Struthio camelus: one gene and its partner. The protein of the gene in region 2 purifies or fractionates together with the protein of the main gene of each other region. This does not show direct contact. Links are inferred from orthologs where the notes say so. Each region holds a gene or a part of one and is shown on either strand. Other genes may lie near its edges.

The links. Proteins that work in one complex are often made in the same cells at the same time.
Region 1: the proteins of NFKBIA (region 2) and RELB purify together in Homo sapiens (affinity purification with mass spectrometry; 4 studies listed by BioGRID and IntAct, counting the BioPlex papers as one, with this or other methods). This does not show direct contact. The link is inferred for Struthio camelus from reciprocal best matches to the Homo sapiens genes NFKBIA and RELB.

The regions. Positions count from the first base shown.
Region 1 is NC_090957.1:1,342,123-1,351,755, forward strand, and holds the start of RELB (transcription factor RelB), read right to left. Parts: upstream 4,408-9,633; 5' UTR 4,333-4,407; coding exon 4,317-4,332; intron 3,318-4,316; coding exon 3,264-3,317; intron 3,096-3,263; coding exon 3,087-3,095; intron 2,601-3,086; coding exon 2,110-2,600; intron 1,512-2,109; coding exon 1,354-1,511; intron 845-1,353; coding exon 753-844; intron 665-752; coding exon 533-664; intron 80-532; coding exon 1-79. Other genes in the region: putative lipid scramblase CLPTM1, read left to right, coding at 5,364-5,432, 5,525-5,643.
Region 2 is NC_090946.1:55,425,009-55,434,460, reverse strand, and holds NFKBIA (NF-kappa-B inhibitor alpha), read left to right. Parts: upstream 1-5,263; 5' UTR 5,264-5,299; coding exon 5,300-5,553; intron 5,554-5,848; coding exon 5,849-5,957; intron 5,958-6,406; coding exon 6,407-6,617; intron 6,618-7,117; coding exon 7,118-7,206; intron 7,207-7,325; coding exon 7,326-7,586; intron 7,587-8,112; coding exon 8,113-8,160; 3' UTR 8,161-8,852; downstream 8,853-9,452. UniProt on the Homo sapiens protein: Inhibits the activity of dimeric NF-kappa-B/REL complexes by trapping REL (RELA/p65 and NFKB1/p50) dimers in the cytoplasm by masking their nuclear localization signals.

The DNA.
Region 1 (9,633 bases), on a different chromosome or scaffold from region 2:
TAGAGCTCCTCGCCACCCGTGCACGGCCCGCTCTCCTTGTTCATCCGGCAGATCCTCAGCTCCGAGGTGTTGGTGGATTCTGGGGGCACCAGAGCACAGCTCAGGGGTGCTCAGGTGCCGTGCATGGACAGGGGTCCACAGCTGCCCTGCGGGGTCCTGTGGTGCAGCAACAGCAATGTGGCTCCAAAATCACCCAGCCCTGGGGCCAGGCTTGGGCAGCAAGACCAGGCTCAGGGTACAGGGACTCTCATTAGCATCATCTCTTCCCAAGCACCCCTAGCACTAGGTACCAACCCTGCAGAACACGGGTGACCAGATCCCCTGTGTGTGGGGGACCAGCTTCCCCTCAGGACACCACCAGTCACAGGGGACCATCTCCGACCAAACCTCGCAGCCCCGGCCCTGGCAAGGAACCGGCTGGTGCAATCTCATGGGCCACCCTGCCCCATGGCCACCCGCTGAAGCCAGGGAGGTACCAGGGGCCTGGCTGAGCCCCCCGCCAGTGACCCAAAGCCTCTCTTCCTCCACATACTCTTGTCAAAGATGGGCTCCGAGAGCACAGGGCTGAGGTGCTGCATCTGCCCAGCGCTGTCCTGGTAGGAGGCCTGGAAGCAGATCCTCACCACGTTCATGTCTACCTCCTGGTGGTTCTTGAGGGACCCAGCTGGGGCAGAGAAGAAGGCAAAAATCAGCTGCTGCCCAGGAGCGGGGGTCCCAGGCCCCCAAGAAATGCTTCTGCTCAAGCCACTCACCTTTGAAGGGGTCGATGCCCAGCTGCAGCTTCTTCTCTATCGCCATCTCGATCTCCTTTTTTTTCACACACTGGATACCAAGGTTGCTAAAGCTGCCGGGGGAGCAGAGGCGTGCTGGAGAGGCAGCTCCCCCCTGCAGAACCTGAGGGCACCCAGGCACCTTGCTCCTCTCAGCTTTGTCTCAGGGGGCTGGGCAGTTCCCCAGCGTGTCCGTTCCCAGAAGACAAGGCCCTGCACGGACCACCGTGGCTCCATCATCTCCAAAACAGGCATCGCTTGCACCCAGGGACGGCAGTTAAACGACCACCGAGGAACACATCGGTGCCTGGGCGCCCCCAAAGCCACGGGCAGACAACAGGGCACAGCTCGACCTCCAGTACGCTCCAACCTCCAGGCATCCCACCCCCCTGCTCCACCTCCGAGACCCCACGTCCCTCCTAGGGAATGCAGACAACTAGTCGTCACCAGCTTCAGCACAGCACCTCTGCGAATTGACGCCAGGGTCCTGGGGTGGGTGGGGGATATCTCTGCTCCCCGCACCAGCCTGGCACAGCTCCCTGCAGGCCACAGGACTCATCCCAGTGTCACAGCGCAGCCGTACCTGTGCTTGGGGTTGGTCTGGGGTTTGAGGACGACCTCGCAGAGCCCGTTGCTGCAGTCCTTGCCCACGAGGCCATGGGGGTGGACGCGGTAGGGCCAGTCCTTCCACACCAGGCATGCCGTCACCTTCACCTCAGGGATCGCGTGGCAGTTCAGCAGCTGGTGGGACACGAGCTGTGGGCGCTGCACCGGCTAAACCGACGCGGGGGGGGGGGGGGCACCAGGAATACGGGCATCCCAGCATCCGTGGGGCTCCGGCACCTTCTGCGATCTCAGCACCACCCCCAGCACCCATGGGGCTCCAGCTCCGTGATAATCACAAGGCTTCAGCACCCCTGCGGGGGGCTCTAGCACCCTCCCCAGCACCCAACTACCCCAGGGAGACATGAGCTGTCAGCACATCCCTGCTACTCTGACACAGGAGACCCTCTGAGCAGGGACGGGCACCCAGAGACATGGAGGGGCACTAAGCACCTAAGGGACTCCAGCAGCCCTCTGGCACCCATGGGGCTCTGAGTCCCTGGCAGCCATGGGGCAATAGCATCAGTGGAGCTTCAGCACCTCCCCAGCACCCACCTGGCTCTGGCACTGATGGGGATTCCACACCCCATGGCACCCACAGGGCTTCAACGCTCCCCCAGCACCCATGAGGCTCCAGACATCCCAGGACTCTGGCCCCCAGCACCCGTAGGACCTCACGGTCCCCACCTCCGAGCAAGCAGGGAGCCACGCGCCCCAGGCTGCCTCCGAAGCTCACCTCAATAGCCGGCAGGGTCTTACTGGCATCAGTGCTGCTCTCGCCCAGGATGCTGCCGGCCGAGCGGCCCTCGCACTCGTAGCGGAAACGCATGCCCCGCTGCTTGGGCTGCTCCGTGATCACCAGCTTGGGCGGCTCCAGCAGCTCCTCCAGCTGGTCCTTGCCCAGAGACCAGCGGTGCCGCCCGCCGGGGCCCGCCGTGCCCCGCGGCACCAGCTTGGGCGACAGCGAGAGGGTGCTGAGGTTCTGGGCGAGCTGCGGCGAACGCGTGTCGGCGGGCAGCAGCGGGGCCCCAGGGCCGTGCGGGGTCCCATAGGGTGCCAGCCCGGCCGTCGCCGGGCAGGGCTCAACGGGGCGCAGCGGCCGGGTGGCCACCGTCGGGCTGGAGCCACGGGCCACCAGCTTGGCCGAGCTTTTGGACAACAGCTTGGGCAAGGCGGGGGCCGGATCTGGCTGGAAACCGTCCTCCTTGATGAGCTCCTCAATGATCTCTGAGGGACGAGGAGGGAATAACGTGCCCGAGCCCGCCACAAATCCCTCAATACCCAGCCCCGACAACTCCCATCCGCCACATGATGGACGGACTGGCCAGATCCTGCCCCGTTGCCACCCACAAACATCTCCTCCGCCACGCTTGGGACAGAGCGGCCACAGCTAGGGGACAAGATGCCCCAACCCTCCTGCCCGTCGCATCCCCGTGGGTGTTACTCAGTCTTTTCCCCTCGATCCCCTCGATCCTTGACGCTCCGGGACGGCGGCCGCGGGGGCAGCTCGCTCGACCGGACACAGCTCTGCACCCTGAACTCCTGCTCGTGGTGCCCCGGAAAAGGATGGATCCAGCTGCTTCAGGTGCACGCAGGGACCCCCTTGTCGGAGATCTCCGGTTTTACCACCCGAAGCTCCGAGATGCTGCTCTGGCCGAGGTCCTGCCAACACACGGGGCTGCGCCTACCGACCCCCCTCCACGGTCCACTCACCTAAATCGTCTGCAAAAAGGAAGGGGAAAAAAAGAAAAAGAAAAAATTGAGGCTTCCTCCCGCACCCCCCTGCCCCAACTCGCACCCAAGGAGGCACGGCTCTCCCCCGCCAAGCCCGGACGCCTGGGCCCCGCCACCCCGAGCACCACAGGGAGGGGGAATGGGGGGGGTTCTTACCAGCCACAGGTGCGGCGTGCGCCATGGCCAAGCTGGGATCCTGGAGGGCAGCTCCTGCGGGGACACCGGCGCTGTCACCCCAGGGTGCACCCTCTCAGCCCCACCTAACGGCACAGGGGACCTCGGCCTCCTGCCAGCCAAGGGCAGGGACTTGGGGAGGGGCACCTCTGGGATCAGGACCCCCCCCCCCGACAGGACCAGGGGGGTCTCAAGGGTGACAGCTCCCCCCAGGGTGGGGAATGGGGGTACCCCCAAAAAAACCCCAGTGCAGGCATTGGGGGGGGTCCCCAGAACTGTGCCCCCCAGTAAGGATTTATTCCCCCCAAAACCTCCCATGACAGGGATTTGGGGTGGAAGGGATCCCAATATCGTGTCCCCCCCCCCAGCAAGGAGGGATCTGTTTCCCCCCCCCCAAGAGCAGGGATCAGGGGTTCCCCAGGACTGTGCCCCCCACTAAGTGCTCTGCCCTCCCCCTCAAATCTCCCAGGACATGGACTGGGGGGTCCCCAAGATCATGTCTCCCCTCCCATTATGGATCTGCCTCCCCCAAGCCCAGCAATCAGGAAGTCCCCAGGACTGTGCCCCTCCCCGAGCACTCTGCACCCCCCCAAATCTCCCACAACAGAGACTGGGGGGGGGGGAACGTCACCCCCCTCCAACAGGGATTTGCTCCCCCCAAAATCTCTCCAGACAGGAACTTCGGGGGGGGGGGGGAGGTCCCAGGATCACATCCTCCCCCAGCAAGCACCCGAATCCCCCCCCCCATCACAAGGACCGGGGGGGGGGGTCCCCAGAACCCTGCCCCCCCCGCCAAACCCCTAGTACAGGCACCGGGAGAAGGGGGGGGGCCGAGATCACACCCCACCCCACCGCCAGCAGGGACCTGCCTCCCCCCAAAACGGGGACCGGGGAGGGTCCCCCAGGACCGTACCCCCCCCCTCCTCCAACAAAAGGCAACCGACCCCCCCCCTCCCCCAACCCGGCCAGGCCCCGGGCCCGCCCCCAGCAGCGGGCCCTGCCCCCCGCGGCAGGCAGCGGGGGCCCCGCGCTCACCGAGCGGCAAGGCCATATCCCGCCGGTAGTGGTGGTGGTGCCGCCCCCGCCGCCGCCGCCGCCGCCGCCCCCCCGGCCGCCGCCGCCGTCGCCGCCGCCGCCGCCGCCGCAGGCCGAGGCCGCGCGGCCGCCGGAGCTGGAAATCCCCGCGCGGGCGGCGCCGCCATTGGCTGCCCCCGCTGAGGTCATCGCCGCGGGGCGGGCCGGGAAACCCCGCGCGGGCGGCGCCGCCATTGGCTGCGCCCGCTGAGGTCATCGCCGCGGGGCGGGCCGGGAAACCCCGCGCGGGCGGCGCCTCCACCGGCAGCGGAGCGGGTCGGGCCTGGCCACGGGGGCAGCGGGAGCCCTGCCCGGGCCTGGCAGCATATGGGGGCACCGGCCCAGGCCGCCGGGAGCCATCCCGGTTACCTCCCGGTTACCCCCGGGAGCTCCCCGGTCACCCCCCTGCAGACCCCTGCCCGGGCCCTCGGCAGCCTCCCGGTTACCTCCCGGTTACCCCTTCTAGGGCCCCCGGGAGCCTCCCGGTCACCCCCCTGCAGACCCCTGCCCGGGCCCCCCGGCAGCCTCTCGGTGACCGTCTGCGGGACCCCTACCGGGATCCCCTGGCAGCCTCCCGGCAGCCTCCCGGTTACCCCTTCTAGGGCCCCCGGGAGCCTCCCGGTCACCCCCCTGCAGACCCCTGCCCGGGCCCCCGGCAGCCTCCCGGTGACCGTCTGCGGGACCCCTACCGGGATCCCCCGGCAGCCTCCCGGGAACCTCTTCCAGCACCCTCCGAGTCACCGCCCCGAGAACCGTGCCGACTTCCCTTGGGAGCTTCCCGGTCCGGTCCGCTCACCTCCCCCCCCCCCCGCACGGGACCCCTGAGAAACTCCCGGTAACGTTACCGGCGCCCCGCCCCCAGCTCGTAGCCCCGCCCCCAGCTCGTAGCCCCGCCCCCAGCTCGTAGCCCCGCCCCGGCTCCGCCCGCCGTCACGTGACGCGGCGCCCCGCCAGCTCGCGCCCGCTCGTCCCCTCTCGCGAGAGCCGCGCGAGTAGCGGCGCAGCAAGATGGCGGCGCCGGAGACGGAGGCGGCGGCGGCGGCGGCGGCGGCGGGGCCCGGGCCGGGCCCGGAGCAGGTAGGGGCGGCCCCGGCCGGGTCGGGAGCGGCCCCGGGGGAAGCGGTGGGGCGCGTTTGACGGCCTCGTCCGCCCTCTTTGCTTCCCTTCAGCAGGTGACCAGTAACGGGAGCGCCGGTGGCGGCGGCGGCGAAGCGGCGGCGGCGGCCGAGACGCAGCGGCAGCAGCCGGCGCCCAACGCCTGGCAGGTCATCAAAGGCGTCTTGTTCCGGTGAGCCGCGGGTCCCCGCCCGCAGCCCTGGCACCACCGGCGCCCGGGCCTACCGGGGAGGGGGGGGGCAACAGGACTGGGCCCCCCCCCTCCCCCCGTCGTGCCCCGGGGGTCGGGAGCTGCCCCGCCGTGTCCTTCCCCCCGGGGTCAGCGGGCAACGGGGGTTGTGCCCGCCCCCCCCCCCCGTGGTGTGGCAGGGTGCTGGGGGTCGTGCCCTGTCCCCTCGTGTCCCCCCCCCCCCAGTGGTGTGGCAGGGTGCTGGGGGTCGTGCCCTGTCCCCTCGTGTCCCCCCCCCCCAGTGGTGTGGCAGGGTGCTGGGGGTCGTGCCCTGTCCCCTCGTGTCCCCCCCCCCCAGTGGTGTGGCAGGGTGCTGGGGGTCGTGCCCTGTCCCCTCGTGTCCCCCCCCCCCCAGTGGTGTGGCAGGGTGCTGGGGGTCGTGCCCTGTCCCCTCGTGTCCCCCCCCCCCAGTGGTGTGGCAGGGTGCTGGGGGTCGTGCCCTGTCCCCTCGTGTCCCCCCCCCCCAGTGGTGTGGCAGGGTGCTGGGGGTCGTGCCCTGTCCCCTCGTGTCCCCCCCCCCCAGTGGTGTGGCAGGGTGCTGGGGGTCGTGCCCTGTCCCCTCGTGTCCCCCCCCCCCCCCAGTGGTGTGGCAGGGTGCTGGGGGTCGTGCCCTGTCCCCTCGTGTTCCCCCCCAGTGGTGTGGCAGGGTGCTGGGGGTCGTGCCCTGTCCCCTCGTGACCCCCCCCCCCAGTGGTGTGGCAGGGTGCTGGGGGTCGTGCCCTGTCCCCTCGTGTCCCCCCCCCCCAGTGGTGTGGCAGGGTGCTGGGGGTCGTGCCCTGTCCCCTCGTGTCCCCCCCCCAGTGGTGTGGCAGGGTGCTGGGGGTCGTGCCCTGTCCCCTCGTGTCCCCCCCCCCCAGTGGTGTGGCAGGGTGCTGGGGGTCGTGCCCTGTCCCCTCGTGTCCCCCCCCCCCCAGTGGTGTGGCAGGGTGCTGGGGGTCGTGCCCTGTCCCCTCGTGTCCCCCCCCCCCCCAGTGGTGTGGCAGGGTGCTGGGGGTCGTGCCCTGTCCCCTCGTGTTCCCCCCCAGTGGTGTGGCAGGGTGCTGGGGGTCGTGCCCTGTCCCCTCGTGACCCCCCCCCCCCAGTGGTGTGGCAGGGTGCTGGGGGTCGTGCCCTGTCCCCTCGTGTCCCCCCCCCCCAGTGGTGTGGCAGGGTGCTGGGGGTCGTGCCCTGTCCCACTGTGTCCTTCCCCAGTGTGTGACGGGGCACTGGGGGTTGTGTCCCATCCCGCTGTGTCCCCTGCTCCGCTCTGCCGTTGGGTGCTGGGGTACTTCCTCATCCCGTCACGTCCTGTTGTACGTCTCTCTGGGGATCCCTGAAGGGGAAGGAGTGCATCTCCTCCTCCCTGATACCCCTAGGCTGTGGGGTCCCAGGAGAGGTGCTGCCACCCATCTCCAAAATCCCTCGGACAGCAGGGTTCCTGGTGCAGGGGCACAGCGACCTGGCCCGCTCACATCTGAGTGGACCCTGGGGTCCCTCGTAGATGAGAGGAAGGTACTGAGGATCCCTCAGGTTCCTGGGCTCATGTCAGAGAGGGAGAAAAGCCTGGTAGCTCCCCCCTCCTTTTCCCCGGACGCCAGGGTCCCTGGCAAGCTGCCTCTGATCCAAGCAGCCTTGGCAAGCCCCTGCCAGTGGGGCCTCATGACCGTGAGGGTGGCTCAGGTGTGACGTGTGACCGTCGCTGGCTGGCGAGAGCGCCCCGAGGTGCTGACGCAGGGCCCGTAACCCACGGGGCTACACGCCCGACCGGCGCAGGGCTTTGCCTGAACTCCGGGATCTTGAGCTACTTTGCAGCTTTTATAGCCTCGAGCTGTTCTTCTGTGGCTGAGATAAACGTAGAAGTTCAGAGATTGGTTCATCGCAGGCAGGAGCAGCTGCTTGAACAGGCTGAGTGTGCTTCCTGTTCTCCTCCGAGGAGGCGTCGGTGTCCTCTATGACTTGTCGAGAGGGATCCAAAGTCCAGGTTGTGGCGCAGAGCCCTTCAAATGCTCCTTTGGCTGAGCGGCGGCGCCGCCAAGCAGGCGAAAGGCCCTGCCGTCCATGTCCTAGGGGCGCTGCACTTCCCCGGGGGGTGCCGATGGTCTCGCCTGCTTCAGCTTGGTCTCTGGTGCAAAGCAGATTTCCTCAGGTGGGGAAAGAGGAGCCCGGGGTGTTTCTGGTTGTGGCCAGGTTTGTACAGCTGGAGCAGGCTGTTTTAAAACACCGCGTTGTATGCTCTTGCAGAGATCTTGGGCTGTAGGATGGCTAAGGAAAGTAAAGGAGCTGTGGTTTGGGAGTACTAAACAGGTAGTAGGGGGCAAAATGAAGCCCCAGGAGTAAAACCAGCTGTTAAAAATGCATCTGGATGGTCCCAGGGTGATGCAACAGTTCATGGGACTCATTGCCCTCACAGATTTCTAGCCTGAAGGCCCTAATGAACTTCTGCTTGGGAGAGTTTTCTGGGCTGAACTGAGCTCCCGCATGGGGCTGGAGTGGATGAGCTGCCTCGGACATGTTTGTGACTCAGTTCTCCAACACCTCGGATGCCTTTCTTCAACCCAAACTGCTGGATGGACTTTGGACTGCCTCAGGCAGGGCTTTTTTGACTGACCTCGCCTCCCTGGCAGACTGGCAGCTCCTCTTCAGGGCTCATCCGGAGCCTTGGTGAACCCGTGTGGACCCGTATGGAGAGAAAAGATCACTCAAGGATGGCAGGCTGCTGCTGAGCCACCGTAAAACCCTGCCAACCCTGTCAGCAATGCCCCAGGTAGCGCTGAGCTTTCCCACCTGACGCTGCGATGGCAGAACAGCCCACGCGTCTCGTGTGGGGTTTTGGGGCCCTCCTTTGGCCCTGTGAAGCTGCAACCCAGCCTTCCCTCCGGCTGCAGTTTGGCTTAGAGGCTGATCTCAGCAGCCCAAACCCAGCTGGCCCCATGGGGAGCGGTGGGATCTTGAGGGTGCTCGCAAGACTGTACCTCCATATTTGGCTGCACCGCTCTCTGCATCTCTCCAGTCCCGTGAAAACGAGGAACTCTGTGAGTGTAAGCAGGGACAGCCAGGGTTTGCCTTGTCCCATCTCTTCTCTCAGACTCGGGCACTGCAGGGATGCTTTTCCTAGGATGAAGGCAGATCAGGTGGCTCGGCTGCATCGCTGCCCTCACTGAAGGCTTCTCGGCAGTTCTTGCCATAGTGCCTGCCTCGTGATGCCTGCTGGGAGCCAGCGCTGCGTATTTGGACGCTTACAATCCAAATCTGTGTTCTTATCAGGAGGCAGAGTGGTTCTTCCCAGCCTTGTCCGCGTTGCGGTGAGGAATTCTGGATGCTGGAGCCGACAGACCTGCTGTGGACGTGCTCTTGGGTCTTGGACCTGCTACATCAGGGGCTGATGAAGGGGTTGAGAATCATGAAAGCTGTGACTCCTTTACACTTCCGCTCTTTCACGCGCAAAGTCTCCGTGCGTCCACCCTCGTTCAGTGCACTGCCTTCCCTTGTGCTTCTCTGAAGTGTCCTGAGAAGCTGCGCTTCTCCTGGGAGGGAAGTCGGTCTGTCTTTTTGTTTCTGTCTCACCGAGGGCAGATTTGTTCCTCTCCAAAGTGTCATTTCCCTTGGCGAATCCCTCTGAATGGCTAGAAGAGCTCTCCTGCACAGCAAGCGTGACCCTGTGGCCTGTCTGCTGGCCAGGAAAACCAGAGTCGCGTGGCCAGGAGAGAGCACTAAATCATCTCATCGCGTAGCGATCGCGGCGAACAAAGAGCTTTCGCAGCGGAGGCGCTTGAAGTCGTTCCCTGTGTTGTGGTTGAAGGGCAGAGAAGGGGCTAGGAGGCGCGAGGGAAAAAATCACGCTTGCTGGTAGGTGGAGAGCAGTCCCATCGCCTAACCCGGAGTGGGCTGCTCCGACGGGGAGTGGGTGATGTTTTGCTTTCAGTGTACGAACATCATGCCTCGTGTCTGCTCTGG
Region 2 (9,452 bases):
GCTCCTGGGCTGCAAGCCAGCAGCTTGAGACAAGTATATCGCCTAGTACCACGGGGAAATCTGGATCTAGCTCCAACTTCAACTCTCTGGATCCATAATCCAGGAAATAGGAAACTATGTCCTTTCTCGACGTGTCTACGTTTGCTGGCCCATACTCCTCCCCTGCGCCCGGCAGTGTTTCTCGTCCTGCGTTCCCACGGGGTCCGTTTTCCATGGAGAAACCCCCAAGGTTTCTCTCTCCACCTTTGCAAGATTCTTACTTGCTGGAAAAACTAGAGAATGTAGCATTACTAAATGGCCCAGCTGCCAGTGGGGGGGAAAGTCCCTGCTTAATTTCAATCGCTAGTGTGCTCCCAGATCATTTTTTCCTTGTCAGGTGCTTCCACTCTGCTTGCAACCGAAGAAGGGGCTGTACTGACAGGTAACAACACTACTCATAATGCTAAAGGGAAAGTTGTACAAGCTCTGCTTCTCTTCTCTTCCCCCACCCCTAGCCTCTTCTTTCCTATGTGAAACACGAACGCTAGCAAGCTTTGCTGCATCAAGAAACAAGCATCAGCTTAAGGAATAAGCATTGCATATTGCATGCTTTAACAAAACTTCCATGTGAGAAATAGGAATGACACTAGAGAAAACTTGTCTTCCAAGCAGCAGCCATTTTCAAATGAACTGAGCTATGTTTACTCTTAAGGCATAACAATAAAAGCAGTTTAAATTTATATGATACATCTCATCCCTAAGGATCTCCAGAAATGCAACAAATTTATATATAAACAGCCCACAGTTCACTCAGAGAAATGCAGATCTTCCCTGGGACACAACACATGAATTTAAGAGATGCCAGAAATAAGCTTCAGTCTAAAAATAAAAACAAAGGAGACCATAGTAGTAGCTGCAAATCTGGGTAGAAGTAATGCAACAAACCTCACCAGGCTCTGGCCAGGACACCCGCGTTAACTCCGTTTCTGTATCTGTGGAATATACATAGGATTTTAAATCCCGTAATCTGGACCTTAGCTTTATATGCCAAAAGGTCCCTCCAGCACTGTTTGCTTGGATATTATGTCAGCCTGAATAAGCCAGAGAAATACTGTGACTAACATACTATTTGAAGCACCTGTCACATGGCCACCTCTGATCAAAATGCGTGACGAGATAGGTGCAGAGGCCACAGCGTGTGTAAAACCCAGAAGCTCCCATCTAGGCTGACAAAAATGAACTTTGGTTAAGATTTCCATGACCTCATTTGGCCATTTTTTTTTATTGCTTCAAGTTAGTAACAGCCAAATTATTATTAGAAAGCAGGAGGATATTTTCCTGTTCTCGCTGTTTAACACTAGAGTCCAGCAAATTGTTTGAATCTGACAGCTGCCCAGTTCTCATCTCTGTAGCAGCTCTAGATGGGAGGCTGAAATGTGCCAATTTTAGTTGCAAAATGTTATCTGAATGACAATGTGAGGTGTTCTCTGGCTTCCGTTGCCCTAGCAAGGTCCTTAATTTTTTGGAGCAGTGAAACGGAGCCCTGTTCCAAAGAGCATACGGGTCAGGTAAGAGGTAGCTACACCACATGTATGCATCCAGATTGCCAGACTGAGAGCAGAAGAAATGCACTTTTACACAACTCTTTTGCTTTGCTTATGGTTTCAGCAGCCTGGGCCAAGGTCCTGCTGAATGTTGTGAACTACTTTTCCTGTTATGTTTACTGCTAAACTTGCATCGTCCTCGAGATTAAATGGGAGGAAATAGTTAATAGGTATCTGCAGCAGCCATCAGAGAAGGACGAAGTTGAGGAACCAACGCTGGTAATCAACAGCACCACAGCAACAGCACTAGACAGCTCTCATGATTAGTGTGGCAATCAGGAAATTACAGCTTAATGTGTTTGCTTGAGAAAGCAGCACGAGAATCTTTCCTGTACTTTAAAAACTGATTAAAATCCTACTGCCCCTTTTCAGTATTCAGGCACGCAAGGCTGCTTTTCAAAACCCTGCCAGCTGCGTGCTGCAAGTCAGAATAAAAACAAACACGTCGTTCCTGCAGCCCAACAGCACTGCAAATGGAGCGGTCAAGACACCCAGAGCGGAGGAGACTTTTGCAAAATCCAGGCTTTAGGTATCAGGCGCAAAATCACTTTGCGTGGTTGCAGCCTTTTACCTTGTCAAAGAGCTGTTTAGGCAGCCACTTGGTCTTGCAATGCCCTCCGTACTACGGTGCCCGTGTAACAAAGAACCACACCAGTTTGGACCCTGCAAGACGTCCAAGACACCCCTGCAGACGTCCTTTTCTGAACAAGATGAAACCGCTCCTTTGGTCATGCCGGTGTGGAGACCACTAACACAGTCTCACATAAAAAATGCAGAGAACCTCAGTCTCCTCTCAAGCTGATGAGCATAAGAAGCGCTGCTGCAAAATTTATACATTCACAGCGGAGTATCAGGCCAGAATAAACAAGAGGACCATCAGGCCTCCAGTTTGACAAAAACGACCGCAGTGTTCATAAAGTTTTGCTCCGTTTCAGGAGGGCTAAATTTGATCCTGGGGTTTCATGCGCTGCCCTCTGTCCCCGGGACGAACGCCTGGCCCCATCCCCTGGCAGCCCCCCCAAGTAACACCAGGCAACAGGCTGCATATGAAAGCAGATTTGAGACAGACGGTACATGACCAAAAGGGGAAAAAATGTGTATCCAAAAGCTGAGTTTGTTCCTTCCTTGTATTTTTATTTGTATTTTTATTCACTCATGCTGACTGTGTAGAAAATTGCATAGAATAATTCAGAATGTGTTAATTTGCAAAAAAAAGGACAGGTATTTCAGCAGCATAAAAGCAGTGTCCGTGGCCCTCTTCACAGTTTCAAAACCTTTCTTTTGTATTGCCTTCCACCAGCTCATTCCATCCCGTTCCGCAAATAGTGTAAAACAACATTGTTAGCTGTGAGAAGTCACAGAAAAGATAACTTTTTTTTTTTTTAACATGCATTCCCTCTGCCCTTGCACCCACAGGTTGTCTGTTACTGTCCACATGGGCTGGAGTTGTTTTTTGACCCGCGCTTGAAGGCTGCCTAACACCCTGGGGTGCTGGCCCACGTCTGGGTGCACTGAAAGCTACTTGTACCACCGAGGATGTCATTTTTCTCAGTATGAAGAAAACCAGTCTGCACGGCTGCTGCACCGGGGACGGCCCAGCAGCCGCAGCGGGGCCGGGCAGCAGAGCGGGACCTGCGCCTGGCTGCAGCCAGTGCTGTTTTTGGGGGCAGGAGGCAGGCTAATCTTGGCACGACTTTCCACAGAGAAGTCATTTTCCATCTCCTTTCTGTCCCCTCCAGCTGGCTGACGTAGCACTGCGTGCAGAGGTACACAGAGATAAGAGCATCGAAACACGCGTGCCCCCAAAAAGAGGTTTCTGCTGGCAAACGCTCTCCAAAAATAGCCCCGAGTCCGCCTGTGACAGCAGCTGGAGGTCAGCAATGGAAGGAGGCGCCGAGGGGCTTGTTCGGCTGAACTCGGGCTCCAGCCACCTCAGTGAGGAGGGGGAGTTTTCAAATTTAATTTCTATGTGGCTCCAGCAAAACTCTGACTGAAGGCAGCTTCATTCTCGCTGCACTTTAGTCCCCGATCGTTAGATAGTAGATAGAAGGCACTTGCTTTCAAACCCCAGTCTTCACTTTTTGCACAGAAGCAGGTCGGAGAGTCATTTGTTAAGTAAATTTCCCTTGCCGATTTACATTAAGAAGGGGAAACTTTTTCCAGAAAGTCATGACACTTTCATAACCCTTAACCTATAAAAGAAAGAGCTGTATAGCTTTTCTAAACCTGCCCCAAAACCACCAGTGGATTATCCCAGGCCTAATGGTGAATAATGAACAAAAGTCCAGGAAGGGTACAGCTGGGCTGCAGCTTGGGAACATCTGCTCACAGCAAGCCAGCCGTTCTCCTCTGGCGCCCCCTTTCATCTTTGGATTTTCTCACCAATTTTTTTTCAAAGGGATACCATCCCATGGGAAAACTGCAAAAGAAAAAATCTCAGACAATATTAGTCAGTGAGGCCGGCAATAGTTGCAAGGGATGAAAAATTCTTAATGGGAATCCCCCACATCTGAGAAGCAGCAGCAAAATTCACCAGGGAAAAAATCACCACTGCCAGTCCAGCAGACAAGGTCTTTTATCCATGTGGGAGCCTGCGTTTACCCAGCGTTTTCATTACCCGTGGCTGGTGTGACATCAGTAGAGACGATCAAAGAAGAGTAGTTAGAAATGGGTGCAGGGGGAATAATGCCAGGAGATGCTATTTCTTCCTTTAAAAGGTGCGTTCATTTACTGGTACGTGTCTTTTGAAAGAAGCCTGTTTGACGAGAACTGGATGTACAGGCACGGAGCACAGCTCTGTTATTCCTGATCCTGTTGCGCGGAAGCTAAGCGGATACTTACCACCAGCTGCAAGGTGCGGAAGCCTTTACACGCCGCATGCGAGGCAGCACAAGCTACGCGACACCAGCCCGCCCGCCGGCACGGCCGGGCTCTAAGACGCGGTGGCGCGCAGCACTATCTCAACCTCCCCAACAACTGCTGCGCCAAGAAGTTAGCGCCATCACGACACCGTCACGTTTTAGGACGGGCGGCCAGCACCGCGCTGCCCTCTCCCGGACCCCAGGCCGCGCCGGTGCCGCCCCAGGGCCCGGCGGGGAGGGCAGGGAAAGCCCCAGGGCAGCTCTGGCCGGGGCAGTCACCCGAGGCGCAGCAGGGAAGCACCGCAGGAGCGGGGTTAGTCACCCAGGCGGCCCAGTACTTCCCCGGCCGTGGAAAAACGCCAAGTTCCCGCTGCAGTAGAGGCCGGGCGGGCGCAGGGAATTCCTCCGCGCCGCCTCAGCCCGGCCCCCTCCCCTCCCCTCCCCTCGCCGGCCCGGCCCGGCCCACCCGCCCGCGGCGCCCAGCAGGACCAGACTCGTCCGTCGGCCCTTTGAGTGGCTGGAAATTCCCGGCCGCGGCGGCTCCTCCCCCGCAGAAATCCCCTCCGCCCGGTGTATATGCGGCGCGCCGCCGCCGCCGCCGCTCACTCGTAGAGGCCCGCCCGCCCGTCGCGCTGCCGCCAGCAGCAGCAGCAGCAGCAGCAATAGTAGTAGTAATAGCAGCAGCAGCAGCCGCCGCCGCCAGCAGCAATAGCAGTAGTAGTAGTAGTAATAGCAGCAGCAGCAGCAGCAGCCGCCGCCGCTGCAGCGCCGGCACCAACCGCCGCCCTCGGAGCCGCGGCGCGGAGGCGCCCCCCGCCCGCCCGCCCGCCCTCCTCCCGCCGCCCCGCCGCCGCCATGATCAGCGCCCCCCGCCCCGCCGAGCTGGCGGCCATGGAGGGCCGCGAGGCGCTGCGGAAGGAGCGCCCGGCGGGGCCGCTGCAGGACGACCGCCACGACAGCGGGCTGGACTCCATGAAGGACGAGGAGTACTGCCAGCTGGTGAAGGAGCTGCAGGACATCCGGCTCCAGCCCCGCGAGGCCCCGGCCTGGCCGCAGGGCGACCCGCCGCCGCACGCCTGGGCCCAGCAGCTCACCGAGGACGGAGACACGTAAGTCGCTGGGGGGCGGCGGCGGCGGCGGGAGGGGGGGGCCCGGCCGGGAGGCGCCGGGCGGGCCGGGAGGCGCCGCGCCGGGGCAGGGCCGGGGCCGCGGAAAGTCCCTGGAGAGGCGCCAGGAACAAGGCGGCTCCCGGCGGCGCCGCGGAAAGCCCCGGCCGCCCAAAAGCCCCCGGTTTCGCCACGCGGCACATGACGGGCGGGCGGGCGGCGCGGCCCGCTCGTCACCGCTGCTCCTGCGCGGGGGGGTTCTCATTCTTCTCTTTTTGGGGTGGTTTCCTTCCTGCAGCTTCCTCCACTTGGCGATTATTCACGTAGAGAAAGCCCTGAGCCTGGAGGTGATCCGGCAGACGGCCGGCGACCCGGCCTTCCTCAACTTCCAGAACAACCTCAGCCAGGTACTGGTCTGCGCCTGCCACCACCGCCCCGCTGAAAAGGCTCTTTATTTTTTTTCATGGATATGAAATCAAAGCCTGCGCTCAGAAAGGCACCCAGCCGACTCCAGTCAGTGTTAGTGTGACGCTTCCTCTCACCAGCACTGGCATTTAATGCCTGCGTTTTTTAAATGTGATGCAGTGGGTCACAGCCCTCTTCATTGTCACGTTGGTGATACCCTTCATATGACTGTTTGATATCTGGAGAGCTCAGAGTTCATCGCTTCCAGACAAGAAAGCAACTGTGCGATATATCAGGAAGCATAGCAATACCCTGTGTTTAGGGGGTTTGGTTTTAATTGGGCAGAAATCACCAACTGATGGAGGGTCTGCTTGTGCAGACGCTGCTGCTGCTGCTGTGTGCCATGTTTGTAGTGTCACTTACCACCCTGCGGTTTCCCTTTTGTCTGCAGACTCCGCTTCACCTGGCTGTTATCACTGATCAACCTGAAATTGCTGAGAATCTTCTGAAGGCCGGATGTGACCCAGAAATTAGAGACTTCCGAGGAAACACACCGCTCCATATTGCCTGTGAGCAGGGCTCCCTCAGAAGCGTCAGCGTCCTCACGCAGTACTGCCAGCAGCACCACCTCCTCCCTGTCCTACAGGCAACCAACTACAATGGTACGCACAGCCTGCTGCACCAAAATGCCAGTATGCTGTATTGAGGACAGGGTTCTTGTCCTGTAGATCTCAAAGACCTCTGGAAGGGTGGAAAAGGTTGAGGAAGCCAAAGTACATAGCAGGGTCCGATTTCCTTGGTTCGCTTATAGGCCTCCTTACTGATGATCATTGGCTGCCATAACTTTAAGCTCTGTGTTATTAATGACTACTTTTGCAAAATTTAATTAACTCTGAATATTTTATTTTGAGTGTTTCTATTTTTTGTTACAATAATTTGGAGTCAAACACTGAAATAAAGATAAGGCCTCTAAGAAGTCTTTCCAGAAATCTTTCCAAAAATCTTTCCCTGTTGCCCATACGTATTGGAAGTTGGAAGACTTTCTTGGAAAACACCTTTTTGCCCTGGATAAATTGCAATTATTCTGTCCTCCTGACTTTAAGTGAAAGATAACACATTAGATAAGAATTACTCAAATTTTGTCTTACTTTGCATTTTACAGGACACACATGTCTCCATTTGGCATCTATTCAAGGGTATCTGGCTGTTGTTGAATATTTGCTGTCCTTAGGAGCAGATGTAAATGCTCAGGTATGTAATTTATCTATGAATTTAGCTGAACAGGGTTGTGTGGTCATACGAATCAGCAGTTCTGACATGGGCAAGCCTGGCTCTCCTAACACGAAACATCTTGGGTTATTTTCATACAGGAGCCATGCAATGGCAGAACTGCACTACACTTGGCTGTAGACCTGCAGAATTCAGACCTGGTGTCACTTCTGGTGAAACATGGGGCAGATGTGAATAAAGTGACCTACCAGGGCTATTCCCCGTATCAGCTCACGTGGGGAAGAGAGAACTCCAGCATACAGGAACAGCTGAAGGAGTTGACCACAGCTGACCTGCGACTGTTGCCAGAAAGCGAGGACGAGGAGAGCAGTGAATCGGAATCTGAATTCACAGAAGATGAAGTAAGTAGCTATTTGCACCTTTTCATAGGAAGGGCCAAATTCTGCCCTTTCATACGTTTAAGTTGTATTTTTTGTTGGTGCCCTCATTACATATGGGTGACCTCTTACCTATATAACATACAAGTATAAATATCCCCATAAAGTAAGGTTACAATGTCAAGCGTTGGAAGTAGGGCATTTGGGCCAACGTATGAATAGAATGAACGTAAGAATAAAACATTAAAAAACCTTAGGGAATGGAGATTAATTTCGCAGAGCATGATTCTCTGAACATTGTCCTGTTGCTGATACTGACAGAACCTTGTGACATAAAGTTTCAGTTAATTTCTCCTCCCCACAATTTATTTTTCTAACATTCTCCATGCTGTAAATTGCAAATGATAGCAAATGTAACCATTGCTGTGTAGAAATTTCACACGCTACTGAAGTGAGGGCAAGCAGAATTTAGCTGAGTAGATATGATACTCGCAGTAAGAGTTTTGCATTAACAGCATTTTGGGATTTTTTTTTTTTTTTCTCCTTATAGCTTATGTATGACGACTGCCTTATTGGAGGACGACAGTTGGCATTTTAAAGCAGAGGTTTCTGTGAAAGGAAGTGACTGTGTACATATGTATAGGAAAAGGACTGGCATTCTTCATTTAAAAAAAAAAAAAAACTGTGGAAAAAAAGTACAGAAATACTACACTGCCCAGCAAGAAGCACTTAATTGTAACAGCAAGGTTCCACGTTCTGTCCTGTGTTTACATGACAGGAGTGTGATATGTAACATCACTAGAAATCTGTGATTATTAACACGACTTGATAAGGAACCCCATATCCAAAATTATTAACAGTATGAAGAAAACAAGGCTAGAGATCCAGCATACTATTTAGAGAAATGCATTCAAGAGCTGTCTGTAGATGTTTAATACTACGAGGAATACTTGTCCACCCATGACAAGATGGGCTCATATAAGCGTCCCATCTTCTTGGAAATTGTTTCTTAGAGTTCTGTTGGGCTGGTGATACTTCACCTTATTGACTGACCTCAGCTGCTCTGTGGGGTATAGCAGACAGAGGATCAACCAAAGGAATGACCTCTTGGCTGTTATGAGAGAGGTAGCAGTCGTGTTAACTGTGGGCATTGGAAACGATGTGTTTCACACAATGTGTGTCATAATTGCTATACTTTTTAGCAATTGTATAGCTTGTAAATACTGTATATTTTGTTTATAATTATTTTGGTACATGTGAGATGTATTTATTAAAAAAAAGTCAAATTACTGTGTCTGGTCTGTGAAATGATTCATTGTCCACCTCGTCCTGAGCTATGTGGGATCCACGTGGTTAGTTTTAAGAAACAGTTAACACCTAGTAGACCTGTAGGCTTAGATGCTCTTGGGGTTTTAGGTGGTTCACTTCAGTAGGAATAAGGTGTCTGTATAGCTTTGGGCTCTCCGCCGTTCCCCTGCAGCTAATTTTAGAAATACATGTAGGTGTAATTTCCTGTGCCCTTTGTCACGGGCAGGGAGGGGGCTGGGATTCCCCCTCTGTCACAAGTGTCAGACTGCTTAGCCTATAGAAAGATCTGTGACACTATTTAGTAGCAACCTCCTGCCTCCCTGGTACCCCCTGTTCCTGGCCCTGTGGCCCCATGCTGCCGCAAGAAAGGGCCACAGAGCCACCCGGGTGCTACCGCACAGCGGGGGAAGCCCAGTGCCTTCTTACCGTGACTTGCGTGGGGTGTTCGGAGGTTTGCAGAGCGGTCCCATGCCTGGCTTCTCTCTCATTTATCACAGAGCCCCGCTCCAGTTTGAACTTGGACAAACAACAGATTTTCCGAAGGGGATTTCCACAGGAAGAGGGGAGTGCAGGCCATGGAAC